Kluyveromyces lactis: one gene and its partner. The protein of the gene in region 2 purifies or fractionates together with the protein of the main gene of each other region. This does not show direct contact. Links are inferred from orthologs where the notes say so. Each region holds a gene or a part of one and is shown on either strand. Other genes may lie near its edges.

Region 1 (11,668 bases), on a different chromosome or scaffold from region 2:
ACTGTACTAGTAATTGTTCTGGGATCCTTCACAATTTAACGGTATAAAGTGGACGATGAGCAGGCCTATTTTTAAGGTGCATAAGGGAGACCGTATTACTTTCCAGCAGCGACTTCAAGACGGATATGTCTGTCTGGACCAATTTATCCCTTTGTTGACCAACTTATCAAGTTTCAATTTCCATCGCGATGACCCATTGGTTGAGAATCTCGATGATATGGTCACTTCTCAATTCAATATACTTATAGACACTGATAGGTCTGGCACCCGATGGATCACTTTACAAAAAGCACATGAGTTATGGGATTTGCTGCAAATTAAAGATGATTCTGGTTCGGAAAATTTGACGGACCATGACGATGATAATGAAGCTAATCACAATGGCGTTGAAGACGATGGTCAGAAGACTCCTGAGAATAATGGTAGAAAGACGGACAACCACACAATGGAGAATGGTGGTACTGAAAATACAAATAACGGAAACAACAGCTCGAATAAAAATGATGGGAATGTTACTGCCGAAGGAAGTAATTTCAGGCCTGCAACAATTACAAATGGAACCACTTCTAGAATCAGTGGTGGTGAGCCAGACACTGTTAAACATGAGCTTCTAGATCTTCCCGATTCTCCTACGAAGAGGCATCAAACCAAATCTGTTTCAAAGATCCCGGTTTTCCAACATGATTTACCTACGGTCTCTACGTTACAGAAAACTCTGCCTCCAGTTAGTAATTACTCAAATGATGAACGTGCGAAGTTAGAGACCTTACTTCAGCGTATTCTTTTCCCCGAAACTACGAATTTGAACGTTGCAGAAGGTTACCCATCGGTCAGCTTAACCCAGCAGGTACAAGAACTGGACACACAATTCCCAAACGTTCCACTAAATTTTAACATCCCAATTGATGAACATGGAAACACTTCCTTGCATTGGCTGTGTTCCATAGCCAATCTAGACCTTCTCAAACAGCTCATTGTCTTTGGCAGTGATAGAAGAATCGGCGATAAGTCCGGTGAATCAGTGCTTGTAAAATCTGTGAAGTCGGTAAACAATTACGATTCTGGTACATTCGAGATACTGTTGGACTACTTGTACCCTTGTATCGTAATGGTTGATGACATGGATAGAACCGTTCTTCATCATATTGTGATTACTTCTGGTATGCCTGGTTGTAATGCAGCGGCTAAGTATTACCTCGATATTTTGATGGGTTGGATAGTTAAAAAGCAAAGCAGAACTAAAGAATCGCATTGCGTGCTACTAGAAGATATCGATCTTCAATGGGTTATCACTCATTTACTCAATGCTAGAGATTCTAATGGTGATACCTGTTTAAATATTGCCGCCAGGCTTGGAAACGTTGCCATTGTCGAAGCATTGTTGGATTATGGTGCTGATCCTAATATTGCAAACAATTCCGGATTGTGCCCTGTGGATTTTGGTGCAGGTACTCAACCCCGTTTTCAATCGAATACAAAAAATCTTATGGCCACACCTACCAAAACTCATGAAACTTCGTTGGATCCGATGGCTGAGTCTACATCGTTAATCACAAATATAAAATCACTCCTCTCAAAAATATCGAATGATTATGGTGATGAAATTAAACAACATAATGGGAAGATGAAGGAGCTCCTCGATACACTCAACATAAAGAGAGAAGCGTTGGCTAATGCACGGGATAGATTGGCTAAGGCAAAGCAAATCCAAGATGAATATAATCTGTTGTCCGACAGACTGAACAATGTGGAAAACACTATCGCTGAAGAAGATCAAAATTTCCAACTTGCTTCTAGAGAATTAGGACTATCACTGGATGATGTCCAAGAAGAAGGTCTGAACTCAGCCGATATTGCATTCGATGCTGATGAGCCTTTCAGAATCTCTTACGTTTACACAAAGTTTGAGGAAAAGATCAAAGACGAATATAACAATGATTTTGAACTATTCCTCAAACATTGCAATTTATCACAACTTGTTCATGAAATATACGATAACTTCCCTTCCAGAGCAGAAATCCCACATCCCAAAATTCTTAAAGCAAGAATCAAAGCGTACAATAGAAACGAATTGCATTTAGACTCAACTTTACAGACTATCAAAGACAAGCAGAAGAATTTAGAATCTAAATTCAGAAAAGTCTTGTCTCTCTGCTTGAAGATAGATGAAGAGAAGGTTGACTCAATGCTTGACGGTCTTTTGCAAGCTATATCTAATGAAGATCCTGAAGATATAGATACAGACGAGGTGAACAACTTTTTAGAGAGTGCCGCCGAATAAATACCAATTGATGGTAACCTATTTGGAAATAACTCTTGTTGTACTTTTATTTCTAACTAAACAGTTTACGCAAGCTGTTGTAATTTTAGTGGACTTTTACCTATAAAATACGATGAACCTTTTTTTTCTATTACATTTATTGCCTATGTATATATTTGTTTCTTCGACGCCTTGTGTTAAAAAGCAAGTCGAGCAGAATTTTTAGATTATTTAGTTGGTTTCTTCCAGAAATACTGTTTATGCACTCTCCTGCATGATCTTAAACCAGATCTGCCACCCTTGAGTGATGCTACCAGCTGTCTTCTGTCATCGTCAGGATCATTTTCTGCATCATAGTAGTATTCTTCATCCAGTGGCTTTCCTGCGGCATCTTTTCCTGTACGGTAAATTACTCCGATACATTGTTCGTCATTCAAAATAGCGCGCAGTTCTGTGCGGCTTAACTTCGAGACAACAGAGTTAACATCCTGCAATTGAAAGAGTGGCACTTGTTGAATGTTAGAGAATGCTAAGTGATTGGACAATACATGCTGTAATTCTTTGTAATCTACCCCCCTTGTAGTCAAAGAGGAAAGAGTTTGTTCTTTTGAAGCTTCATCACTGTCAATTTGCTTTCTTGATTTCTTTTTGGATTTCTTCTTTGGCGAGGGAGTGTTTAACTTACGACGACGGACTTCATCGGCGTTCTCATCCACCTTAACCTTGCTAGGTGTAGTCATGTCCTTAACTGGAGTACTTGCTTCTAATTTCTTCGGAGCATTTGGAGTCTTTATTGTGAAAGAGCTATATGGGGTCAGCTTGCACTTGGTACGTTCCACATTAGGTCTTTCAGTATCAGAAGTATGTCTTATAGCCACTGGTAAAACCGATGGTTTCATGCACTGAGGTGTCGGTGGCGAACACTCGACTGTGCTCATTGGTATCATATTAGCAACAGATTCCTGTTCTTCCAACGAGAAGTCTTCGTCATGGAATTCATCACTGTGTAAGTCGACTTTTGTCAGTTCATCTTCAGTTTCCGTATCATTTTTGGCATCTTCTTCATCAGTTGTAACATCTTGTAATCTAACACGAGCCTCACATTGTCTGAAGTCGAATATTGTGTCCTTGATATATGGCATAATGACTGTTTCACCTTTCAATAGTACAAATGATGTCAAATAAGTTGATTTCAACAACTGCTTTTCCTCTGGAGAAATGATTTGTTCGTTATCATGTAATTGGTCCTGTGTTACTAGCTCGTAAACATCTGAAGCTTTTGATCTTTTAACCAATACATGTGACAGCTTCTTCGGGAAGGAAATAACGAGACCATTTGTACCATTGCATTCGAGTTTTAATTGGTTGGAAGGTGAGATATAAGAAATGAAAGCATGTTGTCTGGAGATATTTTTTCCGCGAGGAAGATGTATATCACATACAGATTTTTTGCGCCCAATTGCCAATCGTGAGTTATCTCTCGGATCTAGCGAAATATCGATTAGGCTAACTTTCTTCAATTCGGTCTCCAGATGTTTTTCCATTTCGTAATCAGATGATAATATCTCACCTGCTTGATCTCTCATTGGGGAAGAGGAACGACCAACAGTAGAAGAGGGATGTGGAGTTGGATAATTTTTGACATTACCTTGCTTTAAGTCGTCTTTGTCCTTGAACAACTTCAAACTGGCAGATGAGACCACGGATTCAGTATCTTTCTCTGGGTGATAAAATGGATTTTCTAAATCATATTGATGTGAGCTCGCAATAGGAGATGAAGGAGGAAACTGCGAGTTCATGACCTCGTGTCTTTTCTTTCTTTGGTTTAATCTCTGTTAACGTTCAGGTGCTTCAGTTTTAACCCTTTAGAATCTGATATTAGATTTTCCAAGTAGCAGTATCTTTGTTGCCTTTCTATGACAGGACACTCCAAAAACAATACTACAGAATCGTTTTGTCTTAGATAGATGTTAATAAACGTAAAAGAACTTACTACAACCTAAAGTCTCTTCATTTCTCAACTGAATATGAACTTCATACTAACTTCAAACTACAAAATATGCGTCGCGTCGTTTCCTTGTATTTTGTCTATTTCGTAGTGGCCACTTTTCGCGTTATTCCCCAACTATCAGGACTGCTCATTTATTAAATCCGTACATCCAAGAATATTCTATACAGATAAACTAAAACTGGTGAGTTGAAAATGTATTTCCCTTTTTGGTAAATAGACGGCTCTCCGTATTTGAAATTTTCTTTTCCCTGCTTTTCGATATCGAAATTTTCCAAGGAAAGTTGTTTCAACCAAACTTTTAGAGATAATATACATTGTTCTATATCCAACTAAGGTCAATATGATAGAATAGTGCTATCATTATAGTGTTGGGTTTAGATTCAAGATAAGACAGAACCAGACATAATCAAACATGGGTAGTATGTGATAGAATACTATACATTTTGGAACATCCTTATTAAGAGCTTTGGAGTGTGATATGCATAAAGAACGAGTAAAATGGAGAAAACAATAACACAAGGAATAATTGAACCACCCGTGAGGCAGCACCAAATTAACGGAATGGACAGTCGAACTCTAATGGAATATAACGTTTGATGAGGTATATTTTGAAAAAGGCCAGAAAACGTTACGACATCGGCGAGTACGTTAGCGAATTATAATGTTCAATTTACACCTACTTATTAAACGGGAGAGAACAAGAATGAAAAAGATTTGAGAACAACGGTCGACTCATTGGAAGGATTTCTTCGGAAATATCAGGTTAGGTTTTATGTTACCTTCTATGAAATTTTTTGACAGATTCAACTAAGTAATAATGACCATCATATTACACTTCACCTACCTAGCTCATGTGGAGAGTTCGATTTACTCTAAGGAAACAGTTTTACTAACGATTTTTTTGCATTGTCAAATTTTTTAAACAGAGGGTACTCCATCTTTCGGTAAGCGCCACAACAAGTCTCACACTCTATGTAAGAGATGTGGCCGTAGTAGTTACCACATTCAAAAGCACACCTGTTCTTCTTGTGGTTACCCAGCTGCTAAGATGAGATCTCACAACTGGGCTGCCAAGGCTAAGAGAAGAAGAACCACTGGTACCGGTAGAATGAGATACTTGAAACACGTTTCTAGAAGATTCAAGAACGGTTTCCAATCTGGTGAAGCTAAGGCACAATCCGCTTAAACTTTGAGATTATCATGTTGTTGAAGACATATTTTTTATTATCTCATTACTTTGTATAAGCATTGTACTTCTAAATAAACCATCAATATAATCTTTTCAGAGTTCATTCCTATGAAATAATTGGAATATGCTAATATTTATCACTTTGATCAGTGTAAGTCGATGCACATGAACGCCAGTAACTGAGCTCTCTTCGCTTCCGTCTTTCTCAAGTTTCACTAACCATGGCTACATACAATGAATCCGCTTCATCCATAGTGGTTATGCTTTCGAGAATATATTTAGCCATGTCTCTCAATGGCCATGAGCTGTTGTTATTAAATTTTGAAACTGCAGATTCCCTTTTTATGTCCAATTCCTCGGAGTGCATGAATGCTGGTAAATTATCTTCATCATAAGCGTCATCAAAGTATTTCTTCTCTTCCTCTAACGCCAATGCTTTCAATGGATTTATTAGGGCAGCCCATTCTGTGGATAATTCATCTGTCGACTCAGGCCACCCATATACAATACGCCATAGACAGATTGTCAGTTCGTCTAGCCTTAAGGCACGTTTATACTCGTCACTTATCGACACCCAACAGAAGTATATCAATTTTAATAAAACTGATAACAATTCCTGTCTCTTAATATCACTGATATGGTCCCTATCCAAGAACACAGTAAGTAATAACTCTTGATGACTACTGAAAAGAGAAAAAGTCTTTTGTAGAAATTCCAACGAACATAGAGTGGATCGGTATCGATGAAGCAGTTTATGCATTATTAATGTAATATTAATTTGTATCTGAATTGACCAATACTCTAGGTTATCTAATGCTGTGAAAGTGAGAGGTTCAAACTCGTTCTCTATAATCATGGGTAAATATCGAACTTCTTCGAGACTTATAATATTATCTATCATTGAATGATTGGAGTTATCGCCACAGCACCTATTTAAACCCGCAAAGTTGAGTGACACAGAGTCAAAAGTAAGTGATCTCTCCCAATTTTGAATTAATTTTGAGAACAATACTGCCCATTTGCCTTTCCAAACGTTTTCAGCACCATCCAATTCAACTATACCGAGTAATATTTCCGTTACGTTGACGATGATTGGCATTATTGGCTTATATGAAATTGATAAAGTAAAATTGCAACATTTTATGAGGTTCTCTGCAATAGTAGCGTCATTCAATACTATTTCCTGTGCCCGCGTATTACAGTTTAGCAATATTACAATACATGTCTCTAGGACATCGAACGAATAAGTCATGCATAATTGATCAAGCATTGAATATTGAAACACGTCTGGAGAAACGTCTAAATCCAAAGGACTCTCATGCAATGGCTGTTTCAAAAATTTAGGATCAGAGATGATAAAATCTGTAATGAATTGAAATACATCCTTCAGTGAACTAACACTGGTCGCACTATGTCTAAAATTGATTGTACAATGCATCAAAGATATGAGGAAAGGGATGGCAAGTTTATTTTCCGGAAGTACACTTACTGATTTTATAGCAATAGCCAAGATCTCTAGTGTTTTATCAACTAGTTGATCGAGGGTGTAAATGGATTTCCATTTAAATATCAACGATCTAATAGGAGGGCCAAGAGGCAACCTGGCCTTAATTATTTTGTGTTCCGGGCTCAAAATAAGATCTGTCTTATAAGTACAAATGTGATCGAGCATTTCTAGAACTGTGTGCTCAGAACCAAGTAGTTTAAAATTCAGCAAATGATCATAGAAAAGGGAACCATCGTCTACTTTGAAATTCTGAGTCAATGTAACGTATTCTTTAACGGGTTCCATCCTTCTTCTTTTATTTTCAATTGGTGATGGTTCAGCAGTTTCAGTTTCGTGGGTAGTTTCAGACTTGCTGCTATTTCTGGGGGTAAATAAATGTTTCTGTTCCAGTAACATGAACTTTCGTTCATCTTCAAGTCGTTCCAATTCGATTTTAAGCTTCGTAACTTCCTCTTCATGAGAACTTTTCAGACTTGATTCCAGCTTTTTCTGATTATCATCATGTTCCCTTAGAGTCTTTTCGAGCATACTCAGCTTCTGCCTCAAGACTCCCACTTCTCCCTTCGCTTTCATTAACTGTTCAGCTTGTGATTCTGGCGGTTTAATAGGTACCGCCATCTGGCTCATCGGAGGTCTATTCACTAGTTCTAGGATATCATCGTCATCGTCATTATCATCCCATAAATCTGCCATATTGGCCTAGGTTGGTTTTTCTTGTTTTTGTTTGACGCGTTCATGGTAATGTTCTTGACATGAATTAACAGTTAAAGGTTAAATCAAATTCTGTGGTCTTAAGGTGTAAACAAATATGCAGATGATCTGCATTAGCTGAAAGAGAAAAAAAATACATAGTTTCTTGGTTTCACTGTTGTTGACCTTCATTCCCCATTAACGCTGATAACATGTCGCTATAATGCCCTTATACTCGCTGAATTAAAGTCCCGTAACTTCTATATCTCTTTCTGTACACTCTTTGAATGTATTACAATATTTATTAATGATATTTGACTTAATGCTGGCATAGAGTTGTAAAATATAAAAAAGATTATATTAACATATTGAAACAATCAATGTCATATTCACAATCATAATAAGAAAAGTTTCTTTCAGAAGGATATTGCTATGGTTAAAATTGTTAATCATTTAAATGAATGGTCTAGAAAGATCATTTATATTGACGCTACATAGAGTATTCTCTTTGCCCAGTAAATATGACATTTCAATGTTTAGTCATAAATTTACTGAAAATACTCAATCGAAAGATGGGACAAGACCCACACTCTCAGAGATGCAATTGATTTACATTCTACCATGTTACAACGAACGCATGTATCGAATGGCGATTTCATGCCTTGAAATCCCTTCCCTCTTGTCATTTGGAAGCTATGACATGCGGTGCACGGAATTTCTTTTTACTGTTTGAATTTTTTTTTTTCTATTAACCACTTCATGCTCATCGAATGGAATAGTTACAGAATAACTGGAAGAGACCATACTTTAACTACTTGCCGCATCGTTGTACCAGCTCCTGTGGTTTGTTATCGACTGAGGATAAGCTTTATTACGGTACATTTTAGTAATATAATAAGTACAAAAGAAATAATATCAAGATAATATGGTTGAAGATTCTAAGGTCAGAGATGCCATGAAAAATGGTGAGAAGAAAGTCTTGCCGGCATCATTGGTCCCTCAAGCTCCGCCAGTGCTAACATCGAAGGACAAAGTTACCAAGAGACTTATTGTGGTGCTATCCCAGGCTTCTTTAGAGACACATAAAATATCATCCAACGGTCCTGGTGGGGATAAATACGTCTTGTTGAATTGTGATGATCATCAAGGTTTGTTGAAGAAAATGGGAAGAGATATAAGCGAAGCTAGACCCGACATTACTCATCAATGTCTTCTAACCCTATTAGATTCTCCTGTAAATAAGGCTGGTAAACTTCAAGTTTATATTCAGACCAGTCGAGGCGTTCTTATCGAGTTAAACCCTACTGTACGAATTCCAAGAACTTTCAAACGTTTCTCAGGTTTAATGGTCCAATTATTGCATAAACTATCCATCAGATCAGTTAACTCTGAAGAAAAATTGTTGAAGGTCATTAAGAATCCAATTACCGACCACCTACCAACCAAATGTCGTAAAATCACCTTGTCCTTCGATGCACCTGTCATAAGAGTGCAAGACTACGTGGAAAAGTTGGATGATGATGAAAGTATATGTGTGTTTGTTGGTGCCATGGCCAGGGGTAAAGATAATTTTGCAGATGAATTTGTGGATGAAAAGATTGGTCTATCCAACTATCCATTATCTGCTTCGGTTGCATGCTCCAAGTTCTGTCATGGTTGTGAAGATGTGTGGAACATTATGTAAACATGGAAACTCGATTGTTCAAATCAGTATTATATCTCGATAAAATTAAGTAATATTATCAAATGCAGAGTTCGATAACAAAAGTCGCCATATTTTGTACATCAAGGGTAGCATTGGAGCTAGTTTATGGTGAAACACGATAGAAATTTTTCTCTGCTCTCTTTCTTATCTGCCTGTTTACGGTTAGAAGTGGCATCTCAGACGTTTTAACTTTTAAGATGTCTCAAACATGTTTCATGTAAAATAAAAAGCTTAGAACAAAGCACATATAAAAAGGAACAATACTTACAGGTGCCACCTGCTAGTAGTGAACTGCGGATAACATAATTAGAATGATAGTCTCAGTAACTCAAAAGAAAACAATGATGTACCATCGAAATGGGACATATTTACTTAAAACTTAATGAGCGTCTGTCACAGATATGGTGTAATAAATATACGATAATCATACTAGTCATGATGGTTAAGATACTATTGTTCATAAAAATGCTATCAAACGGGTTCGAAAATATAATGGATTATACCATGGAGAATTGCCGTAACATCGATTATTATTATTCCAAATATGTCAATTCTTCCCCACATTATATGGGTCTTATGGGAAACTTTCTAATTCAAAAATCTATGGAACAAAGTGTAGCATTATCGCTAAAAAGTATTTCACTGTTGGTATCTGTTTCTGAAAATGTCATAGATTTTATGATAGATCTTTGGTTGGGGACATGGGTATGCTTAATCGTCAGTGCAATTGATGGATCGGTTGATGTTGCAACGAATGCTACAGAATCTGTCATTGATTTAGTAAATGGAACAGTAAGTAGCGTCGCAGATGAGATTGATGATGGATTGAGCGGATTGACCAAAGTAGTTAATAAAGTTCTTTCGGCTGTCAATGATATTCAGAATTTCTTTAAAGGGAACGATGATGAATCAGACATTAATGATCAAGTAAAGAAAGTTAATTTAACAATAAATGGGCTGAGAACACTTTCTATTCCAAGTTCTATAGATGATAAGCTGGTGAAGCTGTCTGCTAATACACCTGATTTTGATACTGTTAAGAATAAAACTAAACAAGCAATTGCCGTTCCATTTGATATCATCAGGAATGAAATTAAATCAATTAACGCCAGTAAGCTAGTTGGAGACCCGCAGTACCTTGAAGTACCAGCAATTGATACTAGTGGTGTAAAAATATGTTCAGATAACAAGTCAGAAATAAATGAAGTCTTTGATACCATAAGAAAAGTGTTTAATGCTTCCACCATGACAATACTAATAGTTTTTATTCTTGCTGCTCTAAGTTTGATTGTGTATAACGCCTGGGCAGAGTGGAGGCAATGGATACGCCTTAAAAGATTCAGAGATCAATACAGGCATCAGACTATCATGCTTAAAAACCCATTTGATGACATGGCTGACGAAAAAGTCCCACAGAACGTCGATATATTAGAAACGTATCATCTGGTCTTCAATAGATATCAATCTGGATTTGGAAGATGGCTCAGCAGACGTATAAGTTCGAAGTTAGAAACACAACGAAATATCCAATGGTTGGTAACGTATTTGACATCTTCTACTTCGCTAACGTTATTAGCACTTGGGTTATGCGGTATTCTCATGTGTTGCGTACAATTTGCCATCATTGCGATCATTTCCAACAAGATAAACGGGAAGGAGACAGAAAAAATGATGACATCGATGTCCACAGCCATGAATGATACAGTACAACAGGGAATGACAGACTGGTCTAAATCTGCCAACCTCTACATTAACGACACGGAAACTCAAATTAATAGGCAAGTTTTTGGATGGATCCAAAATACGACAGACACAGTAAACGGTACAGTGACAGATTTAATTGAAGACATCGACAACGCAATTAGCAAAGCGTTCAATGGGACAATTTTGTACAAACCCATGGATACGGTAATGCAATGTGTCATCGGAAACAAACTGGAAGCCATATCTACAGCTCTAACATGGGTCCATAATACAGCTCAAGTGAACCTCCCCCGAGTCAACGGTTCTGAATTATACCAACAGCTTCAGCAAAACCTCACAGATTCAAACTCTACTACTTCCAGCACTGCAGAGTTACCCAATTCGACATCAATTGCAACCCAGCTCAAGGATAATCTCATCTCTGCAGCGAACAAGATTTTATCACAGTATAAGAATACTGTCGTCATAGAACTCATCGTGTCGTCTGTTTTTCTAGCACTTTACTTTTTTCAAATTCCGGTTGCCGGTATTATCCTGGCGGCACAGAAACACAAGTCAAAACATAATAATCAAAACCGTCCATAATACCGTCCAGGGTCCTA
Region 2 (11,776 bases):
AGCAGTAGTCACTTAGAAAATCGAAAGCGGGAATGGGAAATAAATCAAAACCCAAAATACGCCAGTGTTTCCACTTACGTATATATACTAAAATCTGATTCTTGCCTTTTCTTTGCTTCCGTGATGAAAGTACCCTAATATAGGATAAATTCTCTTGAGATAATAATTATAACAATACCTTTTGTATTGCAATTATAATATACGAAAGGGAAGCACGAGAAAGAAAGAAAAAAAGTAAAACAAATCAGAGCACAAAAAACACAAAAAAATCTCGATGGTTGTTAATGTATCAAAACGTATTCTAGCCGCGTGTCTTACCTTTTATGAGAATGAATCTGTTATGCTATACTTCTCTGTTTTTTTTTTTGTAGTGGGCCTTTAATTGACTATTCGAAAATCAAGAAACCCTAAAAAAATGCGCGCAAGCGGTGAATGAAATTCTTGTCTTGTCTGCTTTTCTTTAATGGCTATAACCAAATAATGAGATAACCGAAAAAAATTAAAAAAAAATTAAAACCAAAACACAGACAAATTGAAAACGGCAAGGAATGTCCCAGTTGTGTTGTTTTCTTGCAGTAATGCTAATAATGTATGAGAGAAACAAATGTCTGATATTCGGTGTTGTTTTCTTGGTCCTTATTATATCTTTTACAATTCCCAAGAACCAATATTGAGAATGGTAATGATTAGAAAAGGCTCATCCTTGCGAGTTATATATATCAAAAAAAAATGGAATAGCTACCTAATGGCGAGATTATATAATAATGGGCTAATAACAATCTTAGATTTAGATCACTTTAATGGCAGCAGAAGACTAATACTCTGTTTAGTTCTTTGTTGCTGGTATCCCAGAAAAAAGGAATGGAATAGCTAGTTGTATAGTGTTGAACTTGAAACCATTCTTCTAAAGGGTTAGAGTCACAGGGTAGGTGGGAGAGGAATCCGTTGTAAACTTAACTCCGGATGCCCACTCTATCTAGTTTAGTCTAGCATGTCTAGGAAATTACGCGGCTATCATATTGCCATACGTAAAACGCACCCAAATTAAGGTATTATTACAGTATCAAGGAAACGTTACCCTTTGATAACAAAGAGAAAATATCAAAAAAAAAAAAAAAATAACTCCGAGGGGCAGTTCCATCTCTGTGCTTGAAAAAGAAAGGGCCCTGCCTAAAAATATCAGACAATCTCCTGATGGCCATGCGTTCAGCGCTTACCAGAGAGAAGGGGTTAAGGTTAAATTGTTGGTTCTACTAGAGATGAGATTTTATGTTAATCCAGAGTCTTCCAGAAATGATTAACTAATAGTACATAATTTGGCCATGGGTCCCACTGTCAAATATTTTTTTTTGGTTCCTGAGCTGCTTTCGTTCCTAGCGTCGCTTTTTGATTCTTTCTGACGATAATGCTGTCAGTCTGCGGCTATAATAAGACAAGTCACTCCGTATATTATGCGGAGTAGACAACATTTATTGATATTCGTCGCATAGTGGAAAGTAGACTGACGAGCGTGTTAACTGGAAACACTTCCGGCAGCGCTGGACTGTATCCAACGGGAAATGGGCGCGGCAATAAAAAATAGTAGATAGGAATTTGTTACTGGTAGGCGGAAAGCAATAGTTGCTAGAAAACGGAATTGATACATTGTAGACATTAGGGACAAAAGCTTATTCTCTTTCCGCGGCCTATCCGCGGAACGGTGATGGATGATATTCTCTCCTGTTCCATGATATTCTTTAATGAACGCGGTTTTCCAATTGCCTCAAAAAAAGAGCAATATGGAACCTAATGGAGTCTCATCGAAGGACATGGAATGATTGGTTTCGTGTGCCGTAAGAGAAACACGTACATGTTTGAAAATCTAGGCACTTGTGCTTCGGGAAGTTCTATTTGAGGTTAATCAGGTGATCTTTGTTGTTGTTGTTTTTTTTATTCTCATTTTCCTTTTTGATTTTCCTTTGGTTGAGGGAATTGCGCTTTACAGAATACGTTGGGGAAAAGCGATCTCCACAATGTGCCGGGTTTCCCAGGTGATCTGTAGAATTTGGAGCCTTTAGCCGCGTCTGTGCCTGCGACATATTTTAAGGAATATCTACGTGTCTCGTATTTCCATTTCTAGTACTGGATGATCAACCTGTAAAAAGTAGCATGTACCTGTCCGTATTTACCTGCTTGGACGTCGGTTATTTTCCCTCATTTATCTTCTGACTACGTGATTATCTTGGCGGAAGAGTCAACCAAATACGGACTAATACTGCACAAAAAGCCATCTCTACGTTGTATCTTTGTGTCTTATCTTTCACTCTTAATCCCTTGCAGGAATTTGTATACCAATAAGCCCTGAACTGAGATGAGCGGCTGCTAGTGGGTTAACTCCACGTTTTCATGTCTTCTTTTCTTCCAGATGAGAGTTATATGATATCTGTTGGTTAAACAGCTTGTCTAAGTACCGGTTTAATGCATTCTCTGTCTCTGATTGATCACTTTTTTTCTCTCTTTTGTCCGTATCGTTTCTACGCCAGCTGCATGGCACTACGATGATGCAGGTTTGCCAAAAATAAAAACGAATTAAATATGTTGGGGGAATGAAAGACATGACGCAGAATAACCTGTACCAATGGATACGTATATATATATATATATATATATATATATATGTATATAATATCTGTATGTGATGGTCATCTAGAACAAAGCAGTCACCTGGACATATGGATCAAATGGCTAGATCTTTCGTAGGGGAAGAATTCAAGTTGATCACATCTTTGTTATCCAATTGTTTCTAGCCACGTGATCTACGAAGGGTTTCAGTGGATGAATCTTAGATATGCATTTCCAGGAACAAATGATGATCAGCTTCTTCTTCGCCCTGCTCACAGCCACGTTAATTCTTCTTAAATCTCGTAGTAGCACACCGCTGGCCTGGTCCGGATTACTTCTCACCATGGATATTATTATACAGTCTTTATCTCTTCCTTGGAATTGATCTGCGGTTAACACATCAATGTCTAGATCTTCCAATGTCGTCTTCAATAACGACATCTGCGCCTTGTACATAGACATCACACCAATTTGGTCCACCTCGATACCATGTGCAAGTAACTCTCGCACCACTTCATTGACGACGTTGGCTTCGCCAACGTTGCTTAGCTGGCCATGATCATTCTGTTCAACGAACTGCTGGTTACTTGTTGACTGGAAGCCATCATGATCCAATATCACCACAGGTTGTTCGGGATTGATAGCCTTCTGCAGCCATGTGTCCTGTGAGCATTTATAGTTGTTTGGGAATTGTAAGACTTGTCTGCGGATTTCGTCAGTACCACATTGTAACTTTCCTCCGTATATCAACACGTTGGAAAGAGACATGATCTCTGCATTCATACGGTATTGTAATTGTAGTTCAACAACGCTTTGAGGATGCGAATGACACAATTTTTCGAATAACGATTCTTGTAGACCATTGTCACGTGCAAATGAGTTCTTCACTAATGGCGGTAATTGATAATGGTCTCCGACTAATATGAACTTATATCCGAACCTTAATGGACCAATGGCGACAGGTAGCGAAACTTGACTGGCTTCATCTAATATAACATAATCAAAATCACCATTTCGCATTTGTAACCACGGATCATTAATACCGAGACACGTTACACCGACCACTTGTGCTGCATCGATTATTTCCGACAAGTTCTCGTTATCACCATCTAACATCTCTGTTATGCAATATGGTTTGACCAAATCATGGACTCGACGTCCAGATCCCAAACGTACCATCTTAGAGCGAGGGATACGCGAAGTTAGCTTCATTATAATATTATCGACAGCTGAATTGGTGTAGCTTGTCACCATGACAGATTTTCCCTGATTTACCAATATTGAAACTAATTCACAAATAACTGATGTCTTACCAGTTCCAGGCATTCCTAAAATCAAGTTGTAGTCACGGCAGGTGAGCGAACGTTCAATCGCCATTTTCTGGTTTTCATTAAAGCTGTCATTAAGAGTTGGTATTCTGGCCGCATGAGTCGTCCATTTCGGTTCGGAAAGCTCTACAATGAGCCTACGACCCCTGCTGTAACCCCCAAGAGATCTTTTAACAGGAAGCTGTAATTTTTCTCCAGATTTTTGCGGTGAGAATTCAGCTTCAATAAGGACTTCTGGAAGAAAGAGATTTAGAAGGTTGTAACGAGCCAAAGTAAGTCCTGTAGCACTCTCATTTTTATCAATACGATATCGGTGACTATTTGTCAAGCTTTGTTTCTCGTTCAATGGCTCTTTTTGTTTAAGTAAAACACTTCGAACTACTTGTCTCGTATTTCTATCAAAAGAATCACCATGAATATTGTTTGCCAGAATGTTTCTCGCACAATTTATCACAATGAAATCGTTAGCGATTTCAGAGACATGACCAGTTCCAATGGCTAACTGGCCAGAGGTGTCGTTACTGATCATTATATAATCTCCTTTATGGATATCTGACGAGAGCATGCTAGGTGGAGCGCTCTTGAGTTTCTTGGTCTCCTGTTGTTCTGCATTGGAAGTGGCAAATGACCCTTGAATATCGTTTTCGCGGCAGAAAGTGTACAGATATCTCCCGTTTCCCTGATCCTGTACATTCTTTATGGTAAGCTGACTTATGCAATGTCCTGTTTGAGCCTCTCGATCTGTGCCCGACATAAGGAAAGTATCTTTAGTGACACTTGTTATGCTAGTTTCTTCCATCATTAAAAGCCTATCGTACTTGCCGTAAAACGACCGAAAGAGCTCTAGGACCTGTGAGCCTTGTGCTTCAAGATGTCTGGTTAAATCAGTATATTCATGCTTTAGCAATCCTGGCGTTTGTTCTTTGTCACTTAACTTGTTGAGCACCATGCAAGATGTCTTCATGAAACATTGATCGCACTTGGAGTTCTGTATCATTGCGGGTAATTCATGTTGTGGTCCACCCCAATCAGACATCTCTTCATTCATTACTTGTAGGTATGTCGCAAGTTTATTTCTGAGGTTAAGCAGATGCTTTAGCGATATTAAAATTTTGGGTTGTAATGAGAACTCTCTTAGCTTAGTATACAACATCATGTGCAAATTTACAGGGATGTCATATCTATCCTGGAGAAGCAATGTATAAATTAGACCCTGTGCCTCGTGTGCATTAGATTTCCATTTCCCTGTCTTTATCTCCACGGGAGCTAACAACTTTTTACCGTCTGAATCAACATTCGTCTCAACAGTGACATCTATATATCCTTTCAATCCATACTTTGATGACCAAATGTTCTCTTCAATATCAACGATCTGAGAAACAGATAATTTACGTTTATTTTTTGTTCCAATTACTTGAATCCAGGACCTTGAATTGTCCTTAGTGACATAAATGTTCACAAATTCTATGATAAAAGGTAAATGCTCATCTGAAATCGTTTTAATCACTGATTCGACAGATTCTCCACACATATTCACCTCCGTAGTGAATGGTTTTATGACTTTGTCCAGAATTTCGAGAGCTAAGCCTTTTGAGAGAAACTGATTCGGCTCCAACAGCTTCAATTTTAACACTTCCTGGACCAACGCGTGAATAATGTTACCTAAGACAGCTGCAAGCGAGTATTCACCGGGTTCATTAAATTTTGAAGATAAAACGGCACGCCTTTCGCAATCCATGGCAGTCCCAATTGCAGTGGCAGAAAGAAGAACATCCGGATACACGATCAATAAATTATCATTTTCGAGGCCTGTTTTAGGGTCTTTGTCATTTGAAAGAAGCCGTTTATTAGGAAAGTGGTCACCTTCTATTAGGTGAATAATCATTCCTTGCTCGTATCTGAAACGAATCCATGGATCTCTGAGAATTAGGTTAACTTTTCCAGCATCCTGATTGAAGCATGTGAGAATTATTTGCGCTGGTGATTTCATTTCCTTGATTTCAAAAATACATAGTCTTTGACAGCCGCGTTGAGGGAATGGGAATTTAGCCAAGTTAACATACCTTTCAACCACATCGGCTTTGTTATTAAGCAGATGATCGGTTTGATTTTCATTTGATTTTACAGAGTCTTCCACATTTTCATCCTCTGATTCAAGCATAACTTCAATGCGTTCAATTTTTCTCACTTGAAGTTGAGGGAGTGTAGCTGGCTTTTCCTCATCAAGAAGTTCTAATAAGGAAGCATCTGATTCCTCTGATTCTTCATTGCATTCTGTGATGACTGGCTTTGTGAATCTTTGTGTGAGAATATCAATTAACGAATCGTCCTCATCCTCGTCGTCATCTATATTGATCTGAGGAGGATACATTGTGAACGTGCGTTCTATGCCATTAGTTGTAGTATGCTTATGATTTGAAATACTCTCTGATGCCAGCTCCGGAAGATTTTCTACAGGGTCATCGTCTATAACAACTGGTTCCGAGCAAATTGGTGAAGAAGGCGGAAGCAACTTAGGACCTTCTAAGTCGTTTAAAATTTCGTGTATATCTCTCATAGGTGTGACATCCTTTTCTCCTCTTTTTACAGGAGATCCTTGTGCAATTTTCCTGCATTCTTTATCAATGCTGTTGGGATCCATGTTCTCAAAATCAATCACATCTTTAAACTTATCGTTGATCAATGGAGTAGAAGATTGACCTAGAGGCATATCTTGACTTAATTCATCGGAGTTATTATCGTCGTTTCCAGTATTATAATGGTTACATAATTGCTCATCAATTTTCCTAGGAGAGTATCTCCATATTACTTCTTCCGACGGACCATCGCTATACCTCGTTTCTGGCACAGCTTCAGTCGATTTTTCCCTTCTAGTCTTTGTGCTATTGATAATTCTTTTAGATGCAAGCTTTGTTTTGCCACTAGTTTTCGCATTGACAGTATCTTTGACGGAACTTCCAGCTTCCACATTTCGTACTCTTGAGATCGGTATCGATTTCAAAATTGGTTCTTCACTGCTAAGCCGGTTCAGGGGGGCAAAATGGTAAGATTTACTTGGTTTCTTTTTAGGTTTCCCTTTATAATCCACTGAAATAGCATCCGTATCCTTCTTAAATGGCGATATAGAAACACTGGCGGTACGTTTTTTCTTTGGGGTAGAAACCATCGTGTTTCCAGTAAAGAATTCAAAGCCTTATTGCTATTGAGTTTGTACAACAGTATGCTTCTTTTTCTGCTTCTTGAATCCCCACCATTTGGGTTACCACCAATTCACTAATCCTAAAGTTGACTGATTGGCAGTTGGGCTTTTCTCTCTTCGCGTTTGAAGATATTCAAATAGTTCTTCTTATTCGCGATATATTTATGTGTATTGTTTTAATATTTACGTTTTTTAGAGATCAACATTTTCTGATTCCAAACCAAAACATTGCGCATGGCAAAAGGCAATCGCAGGGCTAGGGTACGACTTACATTGGATGTATAGAACCGACACTTTGGTCCTCTCACAAATATTGATGCATTTTCGTGCATTCCTTTATAAATTATATTGTTTGATAAACGTCATGATAATGAACGGAAACGGTGAGTTGATACGTCAGAATTTTACGTACGAACGCGTTAGTATTAAGTATTAGGTTGAGTTCTTTTCGTTAAATTGAGGGATTGATACGGGGTAAAGTGATCTGGTGTAGACTTCTTTAATTTAATGACACTGTCCTGTATGATTGTGGATGGTTCTACTAGGCCGTTACTAGCTTGATTGAGATTGAGTTGATAAGTTTTAGAGTTCGCCATACTGATATGTTGATCCGGACTTTGTAGACGTTTCGGCAGTTCGTTTTCATCATTGACTATATGTTCGTCGTGGTTGCTTTTATCCATAAAAGAATCTCCCAATTCGATGAAATCATCGTTCATTCCTGGAGCGAACTCATCTCGTAACCCAATTGTGGAATAGAAACTTTCAATATCTGAAATCAGTAAATCTTTCTTCTTTTTGAGAGACGCTTCCAGTTCTTTGCTAAACTTCGGTACTCTTTTGTTTGCTGCAGCCTTTAGCTTCAGTAAATTTAGCCTCGTCTTCATGAGTATACGGGATGTCTGCTCATATAATGCCATTCCAAGCTTTTCTTCATTCATTTCTGATGCAATTGAATCGATTGCCGTTAGTTCCCGTTCCTCTGGCAGTGCGAACGACCTATTTTTAGTATTAGAAACATTTGGTGCAGAGGTACTTTGATTAAATTCTGTGGCTTCGGTTTCATTTTGTGATAGCTTTGGTGTCTCTTGCTTTTCAATAGAATTTTGGAAAGCAGTTGGCTTTGTAAGTAAATTCTCTTTAACTGCTATTTTCACATCATTCTCTTCATTTGACGATATGTCACCAGAGTCAATATTAACGGGTAGTCTAAGGGCATTATACATTTTTGATAGAAAGTTGTAATTTGATTTGGAGCCTTTTTGTACTTTGTCAAACGAGTAACCTAATCTCGTTAGTTCCATAATGTACTTAGCTGCGTTCATTTCATGACCAGACATTGGGAGAAATTTAGAAGATTTATCAGAGTTAGATGTTTGATTCGCGTTAGTAGAAGTTGCAGCTATCATATGATCCGTTTTTTTAGGACCTGCTGCGTTGGGCCTGTTATATTTCGGTCCAGAGTTACCTGGTTTAAATCTCAATGGATTCTTTCTTTGTGGTCGTGTTGCTGCAGAGACATTTCTCTTGGTAGTTGTTCGCGCCATTATTATTTCACGGCTTCCTTTATTGAAAGTAACTAGTTTCTTCCAATATGCACCAATAATCACTTTGGTTAAACTGTTTGTTTAACCGTCTCCATCGGAGAGTCGATGTGCAATATCTTCAAGGGACGAAGTTCCTTGTCTACTTTTTAAATATTCAGTATTACCTCTCAGAGAGAAGTCACGTGAAAGTTTGGAAGTCAGATGGAACAAGCACATTATGACTACTTCACTTTTATGATAATATGAAAATCGTAGAGCCTAAAACGCCATTCCAAACCGTCTTATACGGTTGATGTAAGGGCAAATGCAGGTCAGATGCCTAATATAAATGTAAAATGGTTTTAAAAAAATATATAACAATTATAGAGAAATTATCTGTATTCTCCTTCGCTTAAGCGAATAGATTTTCTTGATCCGGTTCTAATTCCTCATCTCCAGCAAGTTCAGAGAATTGTATGAAGTGAGGAGCACGATGGAGTTCATTATAGAACTCTAGTGGGATGTCTAATTTCAATTCGTAAGGTAGATCTTCGCTAAAAGCAGTTCCCATGAAAGCGTAATTCCATATCGATGACGAAGGTACCAAGAAATTGCCCATAATGCGTTCAGATAATAAAATCTGTGCAGTCTCGCTAAATGAAGCTTCAAACCCTTCTGGTGAAGGGTCCGTTATGTCTTTCGATTGTAAGCCCCAGTTGAAACCCGTAGTGCTTAACGTATATCCTGTAATTGATACGGCACCTGGGATTAGATTTATGCACAAATCAACAGCACTTTCGTTATGATCTGAAAACATTTTGGAATGAGTGATCACTTCAGATGGTGACATGAATTTGGAATCGACTTTTTGGGTATGTATCCATCCCAACAGTTCCATGTCGTTGAGATATTTGGAAGATGAGGGGGGAGGAGATATGCGAACAGTTGCGGAACTGCCGAGTTGAGGGACAAGTGCTATCGTCTTAATTTCCTTCACATTAGGGTGATCTTTTACAGGTGACCCGTACATATACCCTGCAATTTGGACATCGACATCAGCTATTGTGACAAACTTCTTCAACAAGTTCCGTGGGAATACGAGGACATCTTTATCTTCTACAAAATCTTCGGCAGTAACATATATGTTCTTAAGCTTCAAATGTAGCAATGAATTGGAGATTGCATTTGACCGCCAAGCATTTTTCGAACTGAAAGATTGGGACTCATAATTGCTGGATGACACCACTGTAATTTCTTCACCTTGAGCATTGATTGTTTTTAGCTTCATGGCTGCCGTGGCAGACTGCGACGACTCATCAGTTTTCTGATTTCTTGCAGCCTCCAATTCTGCCATCTTCTGCCTCTGAACAGATGGAGCTCTAATGTTCTGTCCTAAAATCAAATTCTTGATTTCAGTTTGAGTCAAAGAAGCAATGTTTACATTGTATTTTTGACCATACTCTAAGAGAATTAGATCACGCATCTTCGTCTCAATTTCAATCCACTGATCATCAGTAAAAGAAGGCCATAGATGATTAGCTCTCGTTGGGATTGTAGGATCCTCTAATAGAATCATTTTGGCTTTTTCTTCATTGGTTTTGAGCGCTCTTAATAGCAATATCAATCTAGAGAAAGCAGTGTAGGCAGAAACTCGAGTTAGCCAGTCATCATAAATGTTGAACAAAACCATCTGCGGTTCTGTAGCGCTTAAAACAACATCATTTAATTTTTCTATGTTCAAAACAGAAGAAAAAGGTAATCTGAGCTCAGTTGGACGAATCGAAATGTTTGGGAAATCTAACATGTGTACTTCCATAGGGTCCATCATAGCTTTTCTAGTAACTATAATTTGTTTAGGTTGTTCTTCTTTGGGTAACGATCTAACCAATGCACTTACTTCTTCTGCGGTTTTCCATTTTGCCAATTGAGCCAATCTGCTCTGCCCCGCCCACACCGAAGTGTGAATTATTTTCAAATATAGTTCACCTGTTTTCGGATTTAAAGTAAACACGCATCCGTTGATAGGCTTAGTAGCCACATTGCCTTCATAAGTTCTATGAACAGTGACCCGGTAAACATTCGTATCATCGATAAAGAATTTTGTGTCATTGGAAAATAGCTCTGCGTAGTTGGATGAGTTCAAAAATGGCTCTTGAACTTGAGATTGATATATCTGAAGACCTTTCCTGATACGCTCCCTCAAAACGTAAAGTGCTGGATTAGCTTTCATTATTGTTTTCATACCGTTGTGTATCAAGGGCTTCAATCCCTCAAACCACGTTCCATAGGAGTCGTAAATATTATAGGCCAAGTCAATACCGATCATAATACCAGTAGGAGACGGGTACAAGCTCACGTTATCTGTGGTGTAATCTAAAAATTTCGCACGGACATATCTTGATATATCATGAGAATCATAGTCACCATATCTAAGCTGCACATCGATCCACATTTTGTCAGTTGTGGTAGCGTCGAAAGAATCTTTCGTCTGATGCAACAATGTTGGTCTGCTAACCTTCCATTTGTAAATACTGTTCAATGTGATGTCAGCAGCAGACGAATTCATCTTATACGACTTACGTGGATGAATTGATTCTTTTTGAACAGATTCAATCTGTAGTATATCCATTTGGCCGTCCAGAATTTGACAGATGTCGAAAACCACACTTTCGTGGATTTTTTGCCATAGATGTGCTCGGAAAATTTGAATTAAAGATATCTTCAATGTTGGAATTTTACCGTGCAAGAATATTCCTGTTAAATCCAATTGCACCAAAAACCCAACGTAGACGTTCGCTCTATTAATCGTCGGAGACCACCATAACGTAAACCTACGATTAGGGATCTGACTCAAACCAGTTCTTTGTGCATGAGTAAGTTTCTTGAACTGCATTGAATCTTCAAAACCAGAGGCTTTCTCCCAGAAAAGTCCTTCCCATGATTTAAAGCCAGTTCCTTTAAATAATGTGTGCTCAAGAATTGTTTCGATACCCCCTAAGGCCTGAATGACATCCGTACGATAGGCATTCAAGTTCCATAATTTACCATCATGACGATTATTTGTCCACCAGAAAGCATTACTACGTTCCACTGAATACTCTTTGAATTGTCGCCTAATCCTG

The links.
Region 1: the proteins of DNA2 (region 2) and LCD1 purify together in Saccharomyces cerevisiae (affinity purification with mass spectrometry; 3 studies listed by BioGRID). This does not show direct contact. The link is inferred for Kluyveromyces lactis from reciprocal best matches to the Saccharomyces cerevisiae genes DNA2 and LCD1.

Annotation. Positions count from the first base shown.
Region 1 is NC_006039.1:144,252-155,919, forward strand, and holds LCD1 (Lcd1p), read right to left. Parts: upstream 7,661-11,668; coding exon 5,666-7,660; downstream 1-5,665. Other genes in the region: transcriptional regulator SWI6, read left to right, coding at 56-2,281; TOS4 (Tos4p), read right to left, coding at 2,488-4,059; RPL37A (60S ribosomal protein eL37), read left to right, coding at 4,684-4,690, 5,198-5,457; EMG1 (18S rRNA pseudouridine methyltransferase), read left to right, coding at 8,583-9,341; pheromone-regulated protein PRM1, read left to right, coding at 9,720-11,651. UniProt on the Saccharomyces cerevisiae protein: Forms a complex with the serine/threonine kinase MEC1 which activates checkpoint signaling upon genotoxic stresses.
Region 2 is NC_006037.1:473,656-485,431, reverse strand, and holds DNA2 (bifunctional ATP-dependent DNA helicase/ssDNA endodeoxyribonuclease DNA2), read right to left. Parts: upstream 7,096-11,776; coding exon 2,758-7,095; downstream 1-2,757. Other genes in the region: KLLA0_A05302g (uncharacterized protein), read right to left, coding at 7,554-8,675; U4/U6-U5 snRNP complex subunit PRP8, read right to left, coding at 9,067-11,776. UniProt on the Saccharomyces cerevisiae protein: Key enzyme involved in DNA replication and DNA repair.